Linked DNA regions of Tamandua tetradactyla. The protein of the gene in region 2 interacts with the protein of the main gene of each other region in a pairwise test. Links are inferred from orthologs where the notes say so. Each region holds a gene or a part of one and is shown on either strand. Other genes may lie near its edges.

Region 1 (7,648 bases), on a different chromosome or scaffold from region 2:
CTATATCATAAATTGTTAGAAGGCAAAATCTATGGTTTTCAACTTTGTTCTTCTCCAAACTGCCCAGGACTACCTCGCACAGTGAGCTCTCAAACACAGTTGCCAACTTGAATATATGCTTTCCCAGGATTTTCTTTATAGGTTGGCTTTCAAGTCACAATTAGTCTCTCAAGCCATTGTATCAATAAAATATTTTACTTATGCTCTGGTGTCCCAGATGATTCAAGCTGAACTCTTCTATACTACCTCAGTATATAAAAACTGTCCTAATTTCAGGGGTTCTCTCCTATGAAGGTCTATTTTCATACCTTATCTCTCTTTCAAGCCTCACACCAACTAAGCAAGATTCTCCACCTTACACTGTCATAAAAACTAAAATTTATAAAACCACAAAATAAAACAAATATTTCCTTGGCTCAGAGTTAACTTGCTAGAAAATAGGCAAAATATTGTGGTACTTCTGAATTGCTGCAGAGTAACTAAAAATTGCAAATAACTGAATACAAAGAAAAGGAAATATGCTTGAGAACTCCCCAAATACATACATAAAATATGGAGTTCTTATGAGTCCTCCCTTGATAATAATTGATACTGTCAAAAAACATTATCATTTGCTACTGAACTCTATCATGTTCAAGTAGGCCACTTTTCTTAAATACATGTCAATTCACTCCAAAAAGCTTCTATGTCTCTATGTCAACCAGGGGACTGGAAGTTAAGAACACAAAGATGAAAATAATATAAAGTTTTATCCTCATAAAACAAATAATGTCAATACAGTCATCTCCGCTTTAATACACCCTCTCTGCACTGCTTTCTTTGTCCCTGTTATTTCCATAGCAATGATTTTGTCCAGATTACTTGCTATTTGTATTAGAAAAACAGATTAAAAAAATTTTTTTTTAATAAAAAAGCAAAACATTCTCCTCTGATGAGAGGGAAAGGTGGCTGGGAAGGAAAGTAGCAATTTTCACCTTTACTCTCCCATGAAAAAAATCACCAATCTGGCATGCATGTCTTTCCAAGCCCACCTAACATACAATGTGGGAACAAACTCAAAATAAAAGTAGGCCTCTTGTAAAAGTGGCACTTACAAAGAGAAAAGGCAAATCATGCATGTCATATTTTATCAGGAGAAACAAGTCTTTACATCATGAAAACATTTAAAAATACTCCAGGATATAATATTAGCATTTAAATTTTAAGAACCTGTCTTATTGATCCAAAGAGCATGATCCTGTCTCTGCAATGACAAAGCTAAAAATGTTATCTATCACTAATAAGGGTGAATCACAGCAGCCACCTACTCCACCCAATATCCACCCTTGCTAACACTGAACAGCTTAAAACCTAGAAAGCCTTGCTTGTCTGCTTCAAGCCAGAAATGAATTCATTTCAATATATTAGCATTTTAACTATACACCATAGCAGGAAAATGTTAGTAAATGGTAAAATTTACCGGGACAGCAGTTTCTTCTTTAGATTTAGGTGTGTCTTTTTCACATTTACTGAACTTCCCTCCCTCCCGTTTTTAACAGAGAATCTTATTTGAAAAATAAGGTATCTATTCAGATTTTTGAAGTAAATTTCTATGACTAAGTTTGGAAGGAAAACCTACTACTACATCGTCACGTCCAAACGCTGCCTGCACCGTATTTCAACTGTTGGAAGCCTATGCATCGATTAAATATATTGGAAAGGGTCACAAGTCTCCTTAGTACGCAGTTTCCCAGCTGACAACACTCTTTACAATCTTGTACAAATCCTGTATAAATCTACTTGGATGTTTAAAAGTTACATTGCGCGATATGTGGGTAAAGATTTACTCACCCCTGAAAAACCAGTTTCTGGAGTCCCAAGAACACAAGCAGCCTATACTGTGGAAACTCAGGCTAATCTTCTCAAAACCTCTACGTGGGCACACAAATCAGGCCAACCCTCGGCCACATTTCTTAGCTCTTCCCATGAAAATTCCCAAGGAGAGGCATAACACAAAAGGGCCCGGGGCGCCCTATTCGCCTCGCACGCCGCCGAGACACCAAAATCGAGACTCACCAGGACCGTGGTGCAGATGGATCTCAGTTCCGACTCCACTTTCTCCCGATAGTCCTTAATCAGCTGCAACTTCTTGTCGGAGGTGTCAGTCTTCTGCTCGATGCTGGAGATGACCCTCCAGGCGGACCGGCGGCCCCCGACCACGTTCTTGTAGGCCACCGAGAGCAGATTGCGCTCCTCGTTGGACAGCTCGGCCCCCTGCTCAGTCACGGCCTTCATGCAGGTGGCCATGTCGTCGTAGCGCTCGGCCTGCTCGGCCAGTTTCGCCTTCTGGATGAGCTCCGTCTTCTCCATGGCGCGTGGGTCTGGGGTCTGCGTGCGGGGCTGGGGGAGGCGTCGGGCCCGGCAGAGAGCGCGCGAGGCTCGGACGGCTGCGAGCAGCGACCCGGATCAGGAAGCGGCCTCCTCGACAGCCTGCGGGGAGGAGAGAACAAAAAGGAGGGGGAGGCGGGCGGGCGCGCTATCAGACAATGCGCCCCGCACCCCGCCCAGCGCGGCGCCCGGCCCCCACCGCGCCGAGCCGCCCTCCTTTTGTCTCGGCCGACGCCGCCGAGTTGAATTTCCCTCCCACCGCCCGGGCACCGGGGTGAGAGGCCGAGGGCGGGGAAAGGCCGGCAGGAAGGGCCACTCCCGTCAGCGCCGCCCGGCCCGGGAAGCCCAAGATGGAAGCGGCCGTTAGCCCCGCACCTTACCCCCGCCGGGAGCCGTCCCTGAGGAGCGAGGCGTCGAGAAGTCGGGCCGCGGTCGAGGGCCGGGTCGCCAACCCCTGCCCTCAGGCCCAGGGGAGACCGCCCGAGAGGCGGGGGAGCGGCCCCAGCACTTACCTTTCCCTGCCTTCGCGGCCGCAGCGCAACTCCTACCGCTCGGATCCGCTCTGGGATTGAGCGAAGGACCCTCCCGTCTCAGCCTACCCCAGAGCCGAAGGGACAGCCCGCCCTCGTTGCCGCTGCCCAATGATGCGCTGAGCTTCCCCCCGCGAGTCCCGCCTCCCGCCCCGGTTCTGGCCAATGAAGCCTGAGCGCGCGGAAGGGGGCGAAGGCGGGGCCGCGCGGGAGGAGAGAGCGGAGCCTAGGAGGGTGGGTCGTCTTGGGGAAGTTCGGTTGGCCGGTAGGCTGCGGCTTCGGCCACGGGGTTTCCTCCAATTAGGTCCAGGGTAAAAGGACGTCACTGTTGCCATGGTGATGCTCTTACCCACTCCCTTCATCTTCCCCGCCGGCCCCCGGCCCTTGTGGGTGCGGCACGAGACCCAGCGAGTGGTTCGCGCGACCTCTCCGGCCGTGCCCGCGTGGCCTTCCGCGACGGATGCGTGGCATCTCGCCAGCTGGTTCAGCTAGCCGCGCTGCTTGGCCCTGACCGAGGCTCAGCTTGGGAGGGCGACATAGTCGGCTGTTAAGTGGCACAAACGCTTTTCTTTCTTCCACCCTCGTATTCGTGACAAAGGTTTGGGGATCAACACACTAAATCCAGCCTTTAACGACGCTGCTATTAGGACTGCGAATTAGAAACAAAAATCTTATCCTCACTAAAGAGGCTTTCGTTCCTAGGGAAAGTGACTTAAGTTTGGCTTTTACATGATAAATGCAAGTTTTCATTCGGGCACCAAACCCTAAAATTCCCTTGTCAAAAGGTAGATCTGAAGGGGTCAAGGCAAATCTCATCTGCAATGCTATATTAAAATATATATATATATTTTAATGCCACATGACATTAAGGACAATTTGGAGAAAAATACACATAACTTCCCCCTCCCCCAAAGCAACTAATTTTAAATTTCTTTCCAGCTTTTCCAGATATACAACGGTTTTCACATCATTGTCTTATGTGTACACACTTTAAATTTTCTAGCATTATTTAGATGACGCTTCAAAAGTCAAAATTCTCTTCTTAGGTGGTTTCTGATTTTTCCTCATAATGAAGATCCTTCTGGAATGAGAAAGGTTGCCCCAGATGCCTTCTATTCAGGATGGTCCCTACCATTTTCCTTTCCCTTTAACTAGGCTATTCTCTGGCGGCCACTCCCTTCTCTCCTGGCATTTCACTAGTCCTCCAACTCCTGTTCTATGGATATGGGAAGTGGGCTTTATGCCATCTTGGGAGGAAAATTGCCATCTGGGCTCATGCTGCTACGATTCCAATTCCAACTGTCCAATAGAGAATGGATTGTTGAAAGCCAAGGAATGCCATAGTGGAGAAAGAATTTCAAATTCTAAGCAGCGACCGGAGCAAATTTGGAGAATTTCTAGAATGGAAGATCTGGGAGTGCATACAGATGGGAGGAGAAAGTGCAGGCTTTCCAGAAATGTAAACTCTCCCAGCTGCCCCCTCCCTGTCCTGCCTTCTAAAGGTTGCTTTGTATTTTGACAGACAGGAGAGGCCTGGTTTGGAAGGGGCCCGGGTCCTAAAGCAGAAATGCCTTGCTGTGTTCCAGTGTTCCTAGGGAGGGCCATGCTGTTATTTCTGGAATCCCTGGGGCTAGCCTGTAGACACACAAGTGGTTATGGCCTTGTGGGCTGGGGTGGAGCTGGACACCGAGAAATCCCAATGGAAAGAATTTGCATGTGGAAGGTCAGATAAAATGCTTTCTGTATGACCAGTGCATTGCATTACAAGTTTACCGAAATTAGAGACAGACCTGATGGACACACCAGAGGAAATGAGAGAGAGAGAGAGAGAGAGAGAGAGAGGGAAAGTGTGTATGTGTGTGTGTGTGTGTGTGTGTGTGTGTGTGTATGTGTGTGTGTTGGGGCGGGGGGGCATTTGGGGGGTTTGGACCTCTGTGGTAAGAAGAGCTGGGTTACCTGGAAGGGGCAAGCACACTAAATTCTTTGTCAGAAAGTCTGGGCTGCTGCCATCTCCTTGGATGTCCTTAAGGCAAGTTTTTGCTGTTTTCTGTACCTCAGTCTGTTCTATAAAATTTCTGCTTTCATTCCATCATTAAATGTTTATTTCGAGCACCTACCTCGAATTGTTAGGATCATCTGGAAATGTAGGTGGAAAACTGCTTCAAAAATATGACTCCCTATGAAATTGTAAAGTATTTGAGGAGAATCAAGAAGGATACATACATACACCTCAAAGTATGTATTAGCATTATTTAGATGACGCTTCAAAAGTCAAAATTCTCTTCTTAGGTGGTTTCTGATTTTTCCTCATAATGAAGATCCTTCTGGAGTGAGAAAGAACTTGGGTCCTCTACACCTCAAAAACTTGGGTCAGAGAAAAATAAAGCTCTGGAAGCTTAATGTCCCTGGACACATAAAGAGTTGATGCTTATTTAGAAATTACCTGTGTCAAACACTGTCTTTTGCAAGTATTAGCTCATTTAATCTGCTTAGTAGTGCCGTGAAGTAGGTTCTGTTATGAGCACTAGCTCCATTTCGCAGAGAAGGAAACTGAGGTACAGTTATGCTTCAGGCTTACACAGTAAGTGGCAGAGCCTCGATTTGGACCCGGGTGGTGTAGGCGCCAAAGCCCGTTCTTGTAACCTTTACACTGTAGCTATGTCATCCAGTCTCCCAGCATCATTGCTAGGTGTTGTGGAGGGTTCTAGAAAGAACCAGACTAGCTTCTGTCTTCTAGGAGTTTCATTCTAGAAAATGTGAAACGTGGGAAACACCCGCATCCAACACACCAGGAAGGACTCTAGGGAACAGACAGCTAACAAAGTACTGGGGAGTTATTATCTTATTTATCTGATGTTCTTGTGATGTTTTTTTTCTAAACTACTTGGTGAGCAGCTTCTGCAGGGGGGCGGGGGGGGGGGGAGCACCCTGGATTTGAAGTCAGTTTGACCATGGACATCTTATGATTGTCTCTGAACCCTGGTTTCCTAACCTGTCACAATCATCCCAACCTCAAAGCACTGTGGTGGGAGATGAAATAAGGTACCGTATAGAAAGATGCTGAACATAAAGCGTTAGTAAATATTCGTTTCTTTCTTTCTTTCCCTCCTCTTAGGGGCTGGGTAAAGTGAGAGGGAGGGAGGTGGTGTCCTGCCAGCCTGGAGGAGACTGATAAGAGGTTAGTGGAAGCTTATCTCTTGAATCATTGTTGCAATTAGTGGAGTTAATGGCCTGCAGAATGCCTCCATTCAATGTGCATCCCAGAATGAATGAGTCCTCCTGGTTGAGTTTACTCTCCTAAATTGTTTATTTGCTGGGAACAGTGAATCATCACAGGGGAGCCTCTTTCTCTCCTGCCATATGGCAGGTAATGCTGACAAACATTTGAGGGAGACTTTTCACCCCAAATTCATATCTAACTACTCACAATACTTCTCTTTAACGGGCAGTTTGAAAGTTGCAACCCACTCCCCACCACGCCTTGAGGAGCTAAATGGAGATTCACACCGAGACTAGGACAGGTGGGGAAATCAAATAGAGTCTGGCCAGGGAAAAATTATTCCTACGCATTCCATCTCAGGGCCAGGATCCAGCCTGTAAATTCAGTTTTCCTTCAGGCTGTGCAGTGGGCCAGGCGTAATCCTGTCACCTGCAGGCTCCCTTCTCTCTGTGCCAGTGGTTGCCCTCGCTCCAGCGTCTCCTTGCTCCGCTCACCCACACCTCGTTTTAAGGCTCTCTTCTTTCTTACTGCACTGTGTGCTCCCAGGGAAAAAAAAAATCTAGTAGACTCATTCCATCACGTAAAAATTTGGTAAGTCTTCAAGCGACATTTCTTCTGCCATTATTTGCATTTTAAGAGGAAAAGAAGCTCTTGAATTGGAAGAATAAAACGTTAGCAATAGGGTACTTGGGTAGTTTAGTGGTTAGAATGCCCGCCTTCCATGCTGGAGACCCAGGTTTGATTCCTGGACCATGTACCCCATTCCACCCCACCCCCCCCCAAAAAAAACCCACTTTCACAGTGGAGTTTCAGGCATACTAATCGGCGTTCAGTGAGCCTGCCCCTTGGGGAAGGACTCTAACATTCTGATTTTTAGCCAACATTTCCCATAGGCCAGGCAATAGAGTTGCTCCTTTCTTTTTTAATTGTGTAAGGGTGATAATGTTGATGATCATTGTCAAGGGAGAGGACAGAGGAATTGAGAGGTACCTCTGAGAGGTAACCACTGTTAACATTTTGGTGGCCTCCTTCTAGAATAAATCTCTTTTCCTTTGTACACCCATAGCTATATGCATGCCCTTTTATACGCCCGAGAACACATTATTCCCATTGTTCAGCAGCTTGGTTTTTTTTTCCTTTTAAAAATTGCTCTATTAACTTTACATCTTTCCATTCAAATGGGTAAAAATTTACTTCTGATGAAAACTTAAACGGGATGCAAAGGCAATCTCCAATGAAGAGCTGGTAACACAAGCCCACTGACTCAGGGAAATAGCATAAGGTCCACAGATAAGAGATCGGCAAAAGTTTATCAGGAAAATGCAAAGAAAAAGAAAAAGCCAGCGGGAATCCCAGTTTCATCTCATGGAAAATGGCAGGAGTCAAGGCATAAGGCAGAATTCCTCACGATGGTCATGGTGATGGGAGAGCTCTCCACAAGGATACACAGAAAGTTCCCCAACCGCAGCTTTCTCCTGATTTCTTTCACTTCCTCCATGAACATTTCCATGTCAACTCCGTCTCCACCCAG
Region 2 (7,935 bases):
AGAGCCTAAGGAACCTGTGAACACCATCAAATACAACAATGGATACACCATAGGAACCCAAAAGGAGAAGAGACAGATAAAGGGGCAAAAAAGAATGTGCAGAATTAATTGCTAAAAACTTCCCAGATTTGCTGAAAGCTATGAATGCTAAACACCAAGCGGAATGGGCTCAAAGATTATGATCAAATGTCAAGAATAATGCAGAATTTTAAAAACAGCAAGAGTCAAGCAATGCATCATATATAAGGAATTTTTACTAAGATGACGAACCAATTTCTCAATAGAAACCCTGGAGTCCAGAAGATAGTGAGACAACATATTTGAAGTGCTGAAAGAAAAAATCCACCAACCAAGAATTCTGTATACCCCAAAGGATTAAAAATACATGTTCATGCAAGCACTTGTACATGAATGCTCATTGCACCATTATTCATAATAGTCAAATAGTGAAAACAATCCAAATGTCAATGTGGTATATCCATATAATAGACCATCATTCAGCCATTAAAAAGAAAGTGGTGGGGAACTTCTGGGGAAGATAGCACAGTAGGGAGCTCCAGGATGCAGTCCTTCCACCAAACAGCTACTAAACAGGCAGGAACCATCTGAAACAAATGTTATGGGGCCCTGGAGACCAGCAGAAGGAAGAGGCTGGTAAACCACAGTGGCAAAGAACAGCAAGTTGCTCTCTTCAAGCAGAGGCTCTTGGCCCCCATTCCCCACTCTTACAGCTGGGTGCTATGAGGCCCAGTCCTAGGCCACCTCACTGGGGACAGAGAGGGACATAAAATGCTCTTCCCCAAGAACAGGGGTGGGTGCAGTAGATCACTGATCATGCCTTTTGATTAGTGAATTTGGATCACTGGGTCCTGGCTCTGAGCTTGTATTTCAACCTGCCTGGAAAAAGGCAGCAGCAGCAGTTTTTTAACCTTGCTCTTGACAGGGGCAGACTTGGTGGAGATTTGAACACACAGTGCTTCATGGGGGCTCTGGGGGTGATGAGCTGAGGGGCTGCACTTGCTAGAAAGGCCAGAAAAGCACAGAATTGGGGACCATCCTTTCTTGAGGAAACCCTTCAACAACTAGGAATCGAAGGAAACTTCCTCAACATGATAAAGGGCATGTATGAAAACCCAGAGCTAGCATTGTACTCGGTTGTGAAAGCTTTCCCTCCAAGATATGGGATAAGACAAGGATGCCTACTGTCACCACCGCTCTAGAAGTTCTAGCCAGAATAGTAAAGCAAGAAAAAGAAATAAAAGACATCTAAATTGGAAAAGAAGAAGTGACACTGTCACTATCTGCAGATGACATGATCCTATACAGACAGTCCCAAAGTGTCTACAACAAAGATACTAGAGCTAATAAAGCTGTTTAACAAAGTGATGGGATAAAAGCTCAACATGCAAAAATCAGTAGTGCTTCCATACACTAGTAATGAGCGATCTGGTTCAATGAAATCCCAATCAAAATCCCAACAGCCTACTTTACAGAAATAGAAAAACCAATTATCAAATTTATTTGGAAGGATAAGGGCCCCCAATAGCAAAAAAATATCTTGGAAAAAAAAGAACAAAGTTGTAAGACAAACACTTATTGACTTTAAAGCTTTTACAAAGCTACAATGGTCAAAGCATCATGGTTCTGCCATAGGGACATTATATTAACCAATGAAATCAAATGAGAGCTTAGGAATAGACTCTCATATCTAAGACCAATTGATTTTTGATGAGATTGCTAAGTTTAGAATAGTCTGTTCAACAAATGGTGTTAGAAGAACTGGATATCCATAGGCAGAAGAATGAAAGAGGACCCTATCTCACACACTATACAAAAATTATCTCAAAATGGATCAAAGACCTACTTATATGCACCAGGACTATGAAAGTTCTAGAAGAAAATGTAGGTAAGCATCTTCAAGATCTTATAGTAGGCAATGGTTTCTTAGACTTTACATCCAAAACACAAGCAGTGAAAGAAAAAAACTAGATAAATGGGAGCTCCTCAAAACTAAAAATGTTTGTGCATCAATAGAATTTGTCATGAAATTGAAAAGACCACCTACTCAATGGGAAAAAATATTTGGAAGCCACATACCCAATAATGATTTAATATCCAAAATATATAAAGAAACCCTATAACTCAACAATTAAAAGACAAACAACCCAATTTACAAATGGGCAAAAAACTTGAATAGACATTTCTCCAAAGAGAATACATAAATGGCTAAAACGCAAATGAAGAGATGCTCGACATCACTAGTGATTAGGGAAATGTAAATCAAAACCGCAATGAGGTATCATTTCACACTGACTACAATGGCCACTATTTAAAGAAAAAACAGAAAACTAGAAGTGTTGGAGAGGCTGTGGGCAAATAAGAGCATTCATTCATGTAAAGTGGTTTAGCCTCTGTGGAAGATAGTTTGGCAGTTCCACAGGAAGCTAAGTGTGCAATTAACGAGGTGATTTAGCAATCCCAGTACTGTATGTGTATCTATATCTAGAAGAATTGAAAACCATGGACTGTAGCAAATATTTGTACACTGATACTCATAGAGGCATTATTCACAATTGCCAAAAGATGGAAGAAACCCAAGTTTCCATCAGCTGATAAACAGATAAACAAATGTGGTGTCTACATACGATGGAATATTATTCAACCGTAAAAAGGAATGAAGTCTTAATGCACGTGACAACATGGGTGAACCTGGAGGACAGTATGCTAGCCAGACACAAAAAGACAAATATGGCATGATCTCACTTTTGTGAACTAATTATAATAAGCAAACTCAAAGAGTTCCTATCTAAATATAAATTACCTGGAGATAGACTGGGGTTGGAGAATGGGGATTTGATGCTTAGACTTGTACGGAACTTCTATTTAGGCTAATAGTTAAGGTGTGAATTTCTATTTAGGCTAATGGTTAAGGTGTGGAAATGGATGGCGGCAATGGGAGCACATTATTGGGTGTGTCATCAACAGCACTGAGCTATAGAGGTGAATGTGTTTAAAAGGGGAAACTTTAGGATGTATATATTACTAGAATAAAATTTAAAAAATAAGACATGGGATTGTACAACACAGCAAATCCTATTATAGATGACTGACTATGGCTAATAGTATAAGAATGCTCTTTCATAAATTATAAAAAATATACAACAGTAATACAAGGTGTCAGTGACAGGGTAGGAATGGGGAAAATACACCTAATGTAAATTACGGATGACATAATAGTACGATTTTAATAATTTTTCATCAATTGTGACAAAGGTAACTGCTATTAAAATATATATAGTACAATTATTTTTAAAGTGCTATCATCAGTTATATTGAGGGTTTGGTGGTGTATGAGAATCTCGTATTTTATGCATAGTTGTTTGTAAAGCCACAAATTCTCTAATAAAAATCTTTCAAAAAGGAATGAAATACCTGATACATGCTACAGTGTGGATGACCTTGAAAATATTATGTGAAGTGAAAGAAGTCAGACACAAAAGGCCACAAATTCAGTGATTCCATTTCTATGCACTACTCAGTACAGGTAAAAATCACAGTGACACAAAGTAGAGTAGCGGGTGGTGGGCAGGGGCCGGGGGTGGGTGGGTGAGATGAGGAGTGGCTGCTAATGGGTACAGTCACTTTGGGGATATGATAACACTATTTTGGAATTAGAGAGCGGTGATGGTTGCACAACCACACAAATATATTAAAAGCACTGAACTGTACACTTTTACATGGAAAATTTTATGGGATCTGAATTATGTCTCAATTAATAAGAACAGGAGGCTTTGCACAGACCAGTGATGAAAAGGCACCATAAATCCATAACCAACTCAGATCTCAGCACCTGGGGACAGAAAGAAATAGAGACAAAATTGCAGTTGGGCAGACATGCGGGAAAAGGTGTCTTTCAAACATTGTTGGTATCAGTGTAAACTGACACATACATTTCAGCAAGCAATTTAGTAGTATCTATAAAAAATAAATCAAATACTCTGTGATCTAGGATTTTCACTTGAAGGGTCGTAAAAACAATTTGTGGCTGGCAGCGAGTCAGCACTCAGTGAAGAGTCTTTTCTATTAAAAAGGTGACGGTCACAGAAAGAGATCATAAATTATGCAAAAAAAACACTGCAGCCACACTCAATTCTCACATCTGTTTCACACAGTGTTTATGTCATAATACTGTATGACAATGAACTTTCTGACCTTTAATCTTTGTAAGGCACATAAGGTGCAAAGAAAAATTCTCCTCTAAAACATAAGGTCTATTTACTAAGGATCCTTCTGTAGAATTCTGCACTTTGTAAAAGGGCTATATTGGGGACAGTGCAGGGGGGAAGCAAACAGCTTGAGTCTCATCAAGCATTAGAAAAGTCAAGAAATATTTGGGGTAACTTAAGCATGAAGACTTCTGGAAATCAGCAGTGACTATACAGCAAATGACAAACTCAACAACTACAGAAAGAAGTGCTAATTGTACCTAATTCTTCTTTTCCTTTAGTTCTTTCTCCATTATATTTTTAAATGTGACATTGCTAATATTTGTAAACACTGTGCTTTGTTCATCAAATAGATAGCTCTATCTATGCAAAAATAAATAAAGAAAGAAAGAAGAAGAAGAGAGAAAAAACATGTCAGTCTATATTCACAATCATATCCAGACCTTTCAGCCTATGAAGACGTACCTGGAGTCAGCTTGTCCAAACTGCAGTCACAGAAGCAAGGAGAATTAGATTCTGAAATCTGATCTATAACCCAGAGGTGACAAATGACAGCTAAACCTCTAGGATGTCATTGCATCACTTCCTGAAGCTGGTCCTGTGGAAGCATGGATTGTCCATCAGCTCACCTTGCTGCCAGGTGTCCCCACTGCTGCCCCACCTACCCAGGGTGGTGAGAGGTGGTAGGGAGACAGGAATTGTGACATAAGCAAAGGCCCTCCAGCTGATACATGCATATGCCAGCCCCTGAGCTTCCTAGTAAGGACACCACCTGTGAAGGCCTTGCCACAGCCGACCTGCTCAGCCGCCAAGCTGACCAACTCCTCGGGCGGGGGGAGCCACGGCAGGATTCTGGTAGAGGAGGGACCACAAGCCCCAGGGGGCAGGGTGCAATCATGTAGGCGCCATGGAGACCGCTATGTGTGTCTGCTCACCCTGCTGTACATGGCAGAGGTGTTGTCCCCAGCTGTGCTCCTGTCTGTGCTGCAAGTTCCTCTTCACCTCGGAGCGCAACTGCACCTGTTTCCCCTGCCCCTACAAGGATGAGCGCAACTGTCAGTGCTGCCACTGCACCTGCTCCGAGAACCCCAACTGCCACTGGTGTTGCTGCTCCTGGGCCAATGACCCCAACTGCAAGTACTGCTGCATGGCCAGCAGCAACCTCATGTGCCACTACTATGAGAGTCGCTGCTGCCGCAACGCCACCATCACCTTCCGCAGGGGCCGCCTCAAGAGCATCCGCACCTCGTAAGTGCCAGCACCCAATGGGCTAAGGAGAGCCGGGGGACAAGGCCGGTGCACCCCTAAGCCTGTCTCTCCATCTGAAAAACAGATGCCCACTCTTTTGTAACATTAAGTGTATCCCAAACAGCCATAAACCACGTGCAGGCCAGAGTTTCAAATCCAAGCTCTAATGGTGAGGAGGAGCTGCACTCTCCTGGCCTCCACTTGCTCATCTGTGCACGGGCACAGCAGCGGGTACTGGGTATTAGGGCACCATCACTACCAGGCACTGCCTGCACGACCCCACCTAACCCTCCCACCACCCACACTGAACTGATGATGAAATCAAGCCTTTGAGAGGTTCATTTGCCCAGGATCACACAGCTATTGAGATGTCAGGATCTGAACCCAGAGTCTTTGATCTTAACTTTAAAAGGCTGTACTGCAAAGCAAAGGCACCCATGCGTGCCAGGGTACAGAGGCCTGAGGATGACTGAATAGGCTTTGTAATCTGCTGGGCAGTATTAAAATATAAGTCGTTCTTCCTCCACTGAGCATGACATCTGCACCATTAACTGGGCAAAATAATCACATCCACAGGCGAGTTTAGACCCCTATATAAGTACTGCATCCCCCTTTGAACTCCTATCTGCCTTCTGCTCTTTCCTATCCAAAAGTCACAGCACCTACAGTCTCAGTTGGGGCGTTCACCCTCCATGCCAGGCATTACACAGCCCCTCCCTGGTCTGGCCAGGCCAGTCTTTTATGTCACATGTGAGGAAGGTATGGAGTAATGTGGGCAGACTTCTCAGAGGAGAACAGATCAAAGCTCAGCCCCATAAGATGACAGAATTTGGTGAGACAGAGAAGCAGGAGGTAAGTTTGGATCTTTCTGAGGCTAGAAAAGCAATTCTATGAGCAAAGTTGCGGTGGCTCTGGGGGAGGAGTACAATCCGTCTTGCATTCAAGCACTTAGTAGATGCTTAGTGGCTGGGACGCTCTCCACCAATGGGCTTCTCATTGGTGCACGCGTGACTAGAGAGTCCAGGAATTCCGGGTGCATGTCAGAACACTCTAGGGTGTGGAGAGTAGAGTCCACACCCCCTCTCCGCACAACCGCCTTGCTCTCTGCGTGTCAGCAACACAGATTTGCTAAGCCCATTTCAGCAGCAAGGGGGGCGATGAGCTCGGCAGGAGCTTTGAGAGGATGGTAAGACCAGTGGCTCCCACACTGTGCTGTGCGTTAGAACCATCTGGGGACAGGGACGTACAGGAAACGCAAGAAGGTCAAGGCAGGGGGAACAGCCATGGAATCAAGACCAAAATCCAAACCTTGCTAATGGGATCAGAGGTGAAGGGATAGGCACAGCCACAAACTGTTTCTGTCCACTCCTTCATTCCCACAGCAAACCGTGTCTTTTCATGAACTGCTTTTGCTCTGATTGGAGCCTTTAGAAGCTACACTTGTATTTTACAAGTAAGCTTTATTTCACCTAGAATGCTTACATTCCAGGAAACAAGCCCCAAAAACATTCAGCATAACATAATTAGACAAAGCATCTTAAACACACACACACAAGACGCTAGAAGCACACACTTTGCACGGACTTGACCGCTAGTTTCCTCTGCTGTGGACATGAGCTGGCTGGCCGCGGACAGGAGTAATTACAACAGCCACATGCACCATTATAATTATGTACCAGCATCTAGGCACATAGCATAGATTTTTCTCTTTGTAGAAACCTCACGAAGGAAGTACTATTGTGGGCCTTGATTCACAGATGAAGCAACAGGCTGAGAGAAGTGGTGCCTTCCAGCTCACTTCTAACCGTCACTGCCTGGTCCAGGGGGCAGAGCTCATGGGCTCTAGAACTGGCATAGCTACTGAGCTCCTGCCCTGGGAGAGGCCCTGTCTCCTGCCCCAACTCCTGGGTTCCAACCGACGTACACAAATAATAATGTCCATAACCTCCAGGCAGAAACAAGCAAGAATACACTGTAATTGGAACAAAAGTGGATGTATTGACCCACTGCAACAAGGGAGGCACCCCAGGAAACTGTGAGGTGTCTCAGTCAGAGGGTGTCAATAAAGTATAGGACTGGGGCTCGAAGTAGGTGAGGAGGTGGGGGGGGGGACCTCTTAGTGGGTGTCGCACTAAGTCTTACCTAGAAGGCAGGGGGACCAGGTGAGCCCCCCAGTTGCCATTGGTAAAGAAGCAGGAACTGGTGTTAACTGGGAGAGACAGATGTCTGGTCAATTTTGTGGTTTGAGTAACGTTCCTATTTTTGTCTGGTTCAGACATGATTGTGTTTTGATCCATGACAGTCCCCAGGTGGGCTTGTCTGACATTAGCGTCCAGTGATATTGCTTCTGTCCGACAGGAACTTCCCCGCCCCCAACCCCCAGGCCAGCAGATAGGCCCAGGGTGGTCCCAGTTCCAGGGCTGCTTTACTCTTGTTCAAAGAGCAGTTCAGCACTTGCTGT
Region 3 (6,806 bases), on a different chromosome or scaffold from region 2:
ACAGACATAGCCATGGGTAGCATCTGATCCCTTTGCCCAACGACAAAAGCAAGACAGCAAAGCCAAGAAAGGCAGATACGGAGCCTTCAGACCCCAGATCCAGACACCCTGTGCCCTGGGAATCCCGACACATTGCCGACCCACTCCCCCAAGCAGGAAAAGCCAATGCCTTCAAAATAAACGGTCTTTTTATTGTGTGTCCACGAAAACAAAGTTGGGGTGGCCTCTGGTGACTCCTCCACAGTGGTGACATGAACAGGACGCATGCATGAAAACAACAGCTATGTGCTCCTTGGAAGGAACAGCGGCAGGTCCTGCCAGGGCCCCACAGGTTCAAGGCAAACAGGGCCAGGAGACCCCGCTGGGCCCAGCAAGTGAGGAAGGCCTGAGCCTGCCACCTCCCCAGCAGGATGAGGCAGAAGGGGGAGGGGACCAAAGCACTGATCTGGGCCAGGCCTAGCTCCCCAAAAGATAGAAACACACAGGTAAGCTCCCACCCCCCACCCCCACCCCCACCCCCACCAAAACACTGCTAAGGCAGTTGAGCCAGGTCTTCTGAGAAGAGCTGGCCAGGAAACCAGGCCCTCAGGGCTCCATCCAAAAGGGGTTGCCCTCTTCGGCCTGCATTGAGTAGTAAACGAACACCAGGAAGGCAGCAAAGACCAAGAAAAGGAGCAGCTGGCCCCAAAGCGGGACCTGGCGCTCCTGCCCCAACCCTGCCCCAGGGGCCTGCTTTTCGGGCCGGATGGCCCGGCGGGTCAGCCACGAAGGTGGGGAAGAGGAGGAAGAGGAGGCTGAGGAGGTGGAGGAGGATGTAGGGTAATAGGACGGGCCCAGGGAGTTCCTGCCCATGTTCGAAAGCGGGCGGTAGTGCGCGATGCTCTGGTACGCGCTGTCCCGGGCGTACGAGGGGCACTCCCTGAGGCAGAGAGGGGCACAGGTAAGCCAGGCTGGACCCGGCCCAGGATTGGCTCCCGCCCCTGCCCCCTGCGCCCAGCCTTCCCTCCTGGGGCGCTCCCCGCTGCTCACCTCTCCTTGCTCTCCTCTTCAGAAGAGGAGAAATGGTTGTCATCCTGCACCTGGAAGAGATAGTCAAGGTGAGGGGCAGAGCTGGCCAGCCTGCTCTAACCGCTGCTTCAAGGTTAAGGGCCCTAAGCCCTCCAAGACCTCTCTGGGCTTTGCCACTTGCTCAGTGACTGTCCTGGCTGCCTCTGTTCCCCAGGACTGAGAACCAGCTCAAACCCAGAGCCCAGACCAGGGTGCAGGTGTGCACTGGCTGGGGCGGGGTCTGGTCCACCAGTGTCAACACCCCTGCCCCCACCCCCCAACCAGGGCACTGCTTGGCCCCCACTCCTCCTGGGACGCCAGGGAACTGGGAAGGAGCCCCCCATGTCCACCCCCTGACCCCATGGCTTTATCCAGTTCTGCCCAAGTTCTGGCTCACCTGTTGGTGAAAGGTGTCGGCATCCTGGAGTGAGGTTCGGGGCTCCCGGAAGCCCTCGGATGTGCCCCCGGAACTAGACTCCCCATAAGTCTCGGTACTCAGGTAACTCTCCTCATAGTAGTCGTCGTTGTAGCCTTGAGGAGAGGCAGGGGGTGGGTAGCACAGGCTCCGTCAGTAGCCCCCCCATCCGGCTGGTGGCCCTCACCTGAATTCTGCACTTTGGGGGTGACACTAATCTCTCCCCTCCAGGGCCGGGTGGGAACTGAGATCTCAGGCCCTCCTAAGACCAGAGTCCACGGCAGAGTGGGGCGAGGGTCTCAGGGTGCCCCCTCCCCAGCACCCCCCCAGCACCCCTCCCTGCCTTACCCTTGCTCTGGTACAGCAAGTCATCCTCTTTCTTGGGCAGGTCGTACATATCCGAGTCCACCGAGGCTGAATCCAGGTCTGGGGACCGAGGGGGCAGGGACCGAGGGGACATCTGAGCTCAGGTCTCCCCGCCCCCAGGCGCAGGTGGCCCTCCTGGCCCGGACCCTGGCTTCCCGGCCGCCCCAGCCGGGTCCCCTCCGGTGGCAAGGGGCCCTGGGTGGTCTGGGATTGGGGGGAGGGGAGGAAAGGGCTCACCCGAGAAGCGATACGAGAACGACGAGGAGGAGGAGGAGTTCGGGGGCGAGAGTCGGCGCCTCTGGGTTTCGTACTCGAAGATTTTCTTCTCGTAGAGCTTGCGGGTGGAGCCTGGGCACAGACAGAGCCCGGGGCGCGTCAGTGGCACAGGGAGGCCACCCTCCCGCCCGCAGCCCGCCCGCCCGCCCGCAGGCAGCGTACCCACGATGGGCCCGTGCGGGATGTTGTACTGGCGCAGCACGGCCACCAGCTCGGCGTCCGACAGAACCGCGTAGTCGTCCATGGCGAGGCCGGCCCTGGGCCTCGGGCGGGCGGCGGCGACGGCGGCGGAGGCCTGGGAGGCAGGCCGGGCTGGGGGACGCGGACTGGCAACGGTAGCCTGGGAGCGCGGCGACGGGTGCGAGGCAACCGCTCGACCACGTCACGACCGCGTCTCCGCGGCCCAGGCCTGCGCGCTGCCGGGTGGGGGGCGGGGGGTCGGGAGCGAGGCGCGGGGGCGCAGCCGGCGCAGACCGGTCTGGAAGTGGGGGCGGGCGGCGCCGGGGCGGGAGAGCCGGGCCCGAACGTGAGAGCGGGCGGGGCCGGCAGGCGGTGACTTCACAAACGAGAGGGTACGGGCTGCGCGCGGGAGGGGGCGGGGCCTGCGTGGGCGCCGAAGCGGCGCGTTCGGACCTGGACGTGGGGGCGGGGCGGGGCTGAGGAGCGCAGACGTCACTAGCTGGTATGTTCGGGCTAGAAGCGGAAGTGGGGCGGGGCCTCCGCGGGAGCCGAAACCCCGCCGACCGGCCGGGACGTGGGAGTGGGGCGGGGCTGGCGAGCCAAGACGTCACACCCTGGCGTGCCCGGGCTAGACGTGGGAGAGGGGCGGGGCCTGCGCGGGAACCAGAGCGGTGCAGGCCAGGGTGTATCAGGGAGGGCGGTGCGACTGCGCGCCCGAGGGAGGGGCGGAGCCTGCGAACAAAGACGTCACACGCTGGTGTGTACGGGCAGACATGGGAGCGGGGCGGGGCGTGCTCGGGAGCCCAACCGGCGGAAACCGGTCAGGCTAGCGGGGCAGGGCGGCGCGCTGGAAGTGGCTCGTGCGCCCTGAGTCACGTGGGCAGAGGCGCCTCAGTCCCTCCGCCCTGGTCACTGTCCCCTTCCCCAGGCTTCGGGATAAAGGGGCTCCTCAGGCCCGGAGATACTTGGAGAGCCCCGGCTCCGGGCAGGGCTTGTTCCCGGGCGCTCTGCACGCGGCAAGCGAGGGAAGCCACCGCCAGCTAGGGCCGCGACTCTAAGGCCCGCCACCTCCTAGACCCCTGTCCCCTCCCTGGCCCACGCACCTGTGCCCGTCCCGCACTCACCACCTCCCTCCCGCCTGCGCTCGCAGGAAAGGGGGCACTGGGCCAGGAGGCCGCAGGCATTCCAGGGACAACCAGCCTTCCAAGGGGCCCGGGCCGGCTAGCACTCACTGGCACGGGACGCTGACATGACGCGTGCTGGGACAGCGTGTGCCCGCCACCCCACCTGCCGGCCTTCCCCGAGGGAGGGGGGGGCTTCCTCTCCTGTGGGAATGGCCCTTGAGCTGAGTGGGACAGAGGTGGCCTAGCAGGGCCCCCCGCGGAGGGGGTTGGCTCTCGAGTCAGATGGACCTGTCAGAGGGGTCTGAGCCCGCTGCAGGGACAATGGCAGGACGGGTGGCCAAAGGAGGGGTGTGGATGGCGTGCAAACCGCAGAAGCCTGCCGAGGCCTGCTGAGGTTACACGGAGTGTGGCTGGGAGGAGATAAAGACCTTGCTCGGAAAGAGACTGTCCGCTGGAGTGTGGGGAGGGGCTGGCAGTCCTCTTCTAAACAAAGCCGGCCTAATGGGGTGTGGGGCAAACTGGGGTGCACCCCGGGGAGCCCGGAGAGAAGAGTCACCTGCCCTACTGGATGACCCGTCTTGGCTGCAGATAAAGAGGGAGGGCTCCAGGCAGACCCAGGCTGGTCTGCCCAGCCGTGGGGGCCACAGACTGGTTCTGGATGGAGGTTTACCCAGTGGGGGTGGGGACTGAACCACAGACAGAGACCCTTCTGAAGAGTCACCGTGGCCCAGGGTTGAAAAGACAAGGTCCGTCCTGGCCCTGCCCTGTCTCCTGCTGCATGGAGGGGAGGCAAGCGGGTCTGTGACAACACCGTTCTCTGCAGAAGGAGGAGATGCTAGCCCTAGAACAGGGGGCCTGCTCCTGATCCCTCAGCAGAGCAGAGGAGGGGAGGGTGATCTGGGCTCCAGGCTGGGCATAGTTTCGTGTTTTGGCAAGATCAGATGCCCCAGCACCTCCGAGAACCTTCTTTTGCAATGCTGGCCCCTCTCCCAGAGGCCCGCGTGTACAGAGCCGTTCTGGCCGCTCTGTCCTCCCCCCCTCGCCGCCCCTCCCCACGCGGATCCAAGCTGTTTCCTTTTGCGGTCAAGGAATTCTAGGTTTGCCTTCTCCCCAAGGAACACAGTCCCCCATCCCACCCCCGGCACCTGCCCCAGCACTCTTTTGTGCCCCCTCCCCATAAGGTCTCACCGCAGATGACTCCAGGAGGCTGAACTGTGGGCGGTCCCCCTGTGCCCACCCAGTGGGCACCTGGAGCCCACGTCCAGTCCCATTGCCAGTGCAGCTCCACCCCAGACCACCAGTAACTAGGTGAAGCCTTGACCATCAGAGTTAACAGGCCCTCTGCAACATCCCCCACCCCCACACTATATAGTGGAGAATCAGGGGCCCAGAGAGGGGAAGAGACTTTCACTCTTGAAAGTTATAGGCAATGAAACATATCTACTGGAATACATTTCTCAGCATCCATGTACAGGGAGGCAGTCATTCATTGAGCTATAAACAATGTTTTCTTTAAAATCAGAATGTTGTTCAACATGAAAAGAGACGAGCCTTAACTTTTCTCTTCAGGCTATTCAAGATCCTTTGGGTTTTAGCTGCTTTTCGAATCCCTTGACACATCGCTCAGATGGTGTACGAAGTCATGCGATGAGGATTGTGGTGAAAAATAATGCGTCGATGATTGTCACAATCGCTATAAAACTTTGAATGGAGAGCTGCCCATTCAAAGCATTGTGTCTGGGCCCTAGGACGCATCAGCTCATCTTAATGCTCTGGGGATGGCTGGGTGGAGAGGCAGCTTGCCCTGGCGGTTAGGAATGGTGATTCGGGTGCTTTCCCTGTCTCTTCCACGCCATGGCTTTCATTGATTATGATCTTCACCAGGGAACAGCTAGTGCTGTACAACCCATTCCACCCAGACTTGGAACAGGTCGAGATGCCGAAGAGCTGCATGTGTTTGCAGTGTGGGCTTGGGGAAGGGGGTGTGAGTGTAAAGAGGGAGTTCCAGTGGAGGTGGGAGTCTGGAGACTCCACAGAGCCACCCCTGCGCCCCTTCCAGCAATGGCACTCCTAGCCTGGTTGGCACCTGCTTTTGGCCTGTGGGTGTCCCTCCCCAATGGACTGACACGGCCATGAGTCCCAGTAGCCCCCTTCTGGACCTGGGGATCTCTGAGCTCATCTTCACTCCTAGTGAAGTTGCCCCACTGCCATGACCCCACCCCAGCCCGGGCACTGTGGGTCCAGCTGCAAAAGAAAAGTCTTATTTTCTGAAAATGTGTTTCAGTTCTTTAGTGTGTGCGCGCGCTGGTTCAGGATGTAAAACGGAATCCTTATGGGATGGTGGGCGATGTGGTAAAAAGACAGCGCTTTATGTGGACTTCCTAAGAGAAAGTGGCGTTTGATGTGGAACCGCACCTTGGAGGCAATGGGCATGGAGAAAAGGAAGGTGTGGCAGGTCTGTGCCCGCCCAGCTCACGGACCCTTGGCTCTTGGCTGCACCCTCCTGCGCTCTCCCAAGCTCTGGGACTGTGTCTAACGGGCCCTCTGCAGGAGGGGACTGCTGAGAAGTCCGTGGGTTTCCGCTGCACGCCCCTAGGTCAGCCTGGCACCCAACAGGGGTCAAGCACATGGTGGCTGTTAAGACTGCCCCCTCCATTCAGCTCTGCCCCAGGCCTTTCATCTAGTAGATGCTCAGTGGACACCTGCCCCTGCCTTTGACCTACCCCGTCCCCTACTTCTTCCCTCCCAGGGCAACAGAAACCGATTTGCTTTCCCAGCCCGGGCTGGAGCAGAGGATGGTGGGTGCAGAGGGCCCTGACTCTGGGGAGTGGGGGTGGGCTTCCTGGAGGAGGTGGCCTTGGAGCTGGGCCTTTCTGCCTGGGGAGCCCTTGGCTCCCCCAAACGCAGCAAGCCGATGTCTAAAGGGCTGGGCTGAGACGTGGGCCCTGCAGACCCCGCGGGAGCTCGAAGCAAGCACCCACCCCCACCCCCCCTCCCCCAGCGCTGGCGGCCCTAGCCGGGTGGTGAGCTCATCCCTCATCTGGGGTGGGGGGGCGGCGTCGCCAGTACAGCCCGGGCGCACGAGCTCCCGCGCACCCCCGCCCCCCGGCTCCTGGGCGATTTTACCAATTAAGGCTTTCTCTGCGGGCCGGGCCGGGCCGAGCCCGGGCGCGGGGCGGGGGGTGCGGCCAACAAGAAGGCGGGCGGCGGCGGGCCATTCGCGTGGAGGCGCGCGGCGCTCAGCGAACACCGGCACAGCCCGGAGGCGCGAGCGCGAAGGCAAGCCGGGCGCCAACCCACGGTCGCCGGCCACCCGCAGGGACAGCAGGTGAGGAGTCAGAAGCCGGGCTCTGCGCTGCTCGCGGGTCTTGGCCGGGTCGGGCCGTGAGGCTGGTGGC

What was found.
Region 1: the proteins of TRIM42 (region 2) and YWHAQ interact in binary tests that used the Homo sapiens proteins (3 or more experiments, as listed by UniProt). The two-hybrid records come from large-scale screens. The link is inferred for Tamandua tetradactyla from reciprocal best matches to the Homo sapiens genes TRIM42 and YWHAQ.
Region 3: the proteins of TRIM42 (region 2) and EMD interact in binary tests that used the Homo sapiens proteins (3 or more experiments, as listed by UniProt). The two-hybrid records come from large-scale screens. The link is inferred for Tamandua tetradactyla from reciprocal best matches to the Homo sapiens genes TRIM42 and EMD.

What each region holds. Positions count from the first base shown.
Region 1 is NC_135329.1:55,646,620-55,654,267, forward strand, and holds the start of YWHAQ (14-3-3 protein theta), read right to left. Parts: upstream 3,012-7,648; 5' UTR 2,880-3,011; intron 2,470-2,879; 5' UTR 2,350-2,469; coding exon 2,056-2,349; intron 1-2,055. UniProt on the Homo sapiens protein: Adapter protein implicated in the regulation of a large spectrum of both general and specialized signaling pathways. Binds to a large number of partners, usually by recognition of a phosphoserine or phosphothreonine motif.
Region 2 is NC_135341.1:84,768,871-84,776,805, forward strand, and holds the start of TRIM42 (tripartite motif-containing protein 42), read left to right. Parts: upstream 1-4,922; 5' UTR 4,923-5,133; coding exon 5,134-5,474; intron 5,475-7,935.
Region 3 is NC_135353.1:6,569,382-6,576,187, forward strand, and holds EMD (emerin), read right to left. Parts: upstream 2,511-6,806; 5' UTR 2,349-2,510; coding exon 2,267-2,348; intron 2,177-2,266; coding exon 2,066-2,176; intron 1,889-2,065; coding exon 1,811-1,888; intron 1,579-1,810; coding exon 1,445-1,578; intron 1,080-1,444; coding exon 1,030-1,079; intron 920-1,029; coding exon 586-919; 3' UTR 512-585; downstream 1-511. UniProt on the Homo sapiens protein: Stabilizes and promotes the formation of a nuclear actin cortical network. Stimulates actin polymerization in vitro by binding and stabilizing the pointed end of growing filaments. Inhibits beta-catenin activity by preventing its accumulation in the nucleus.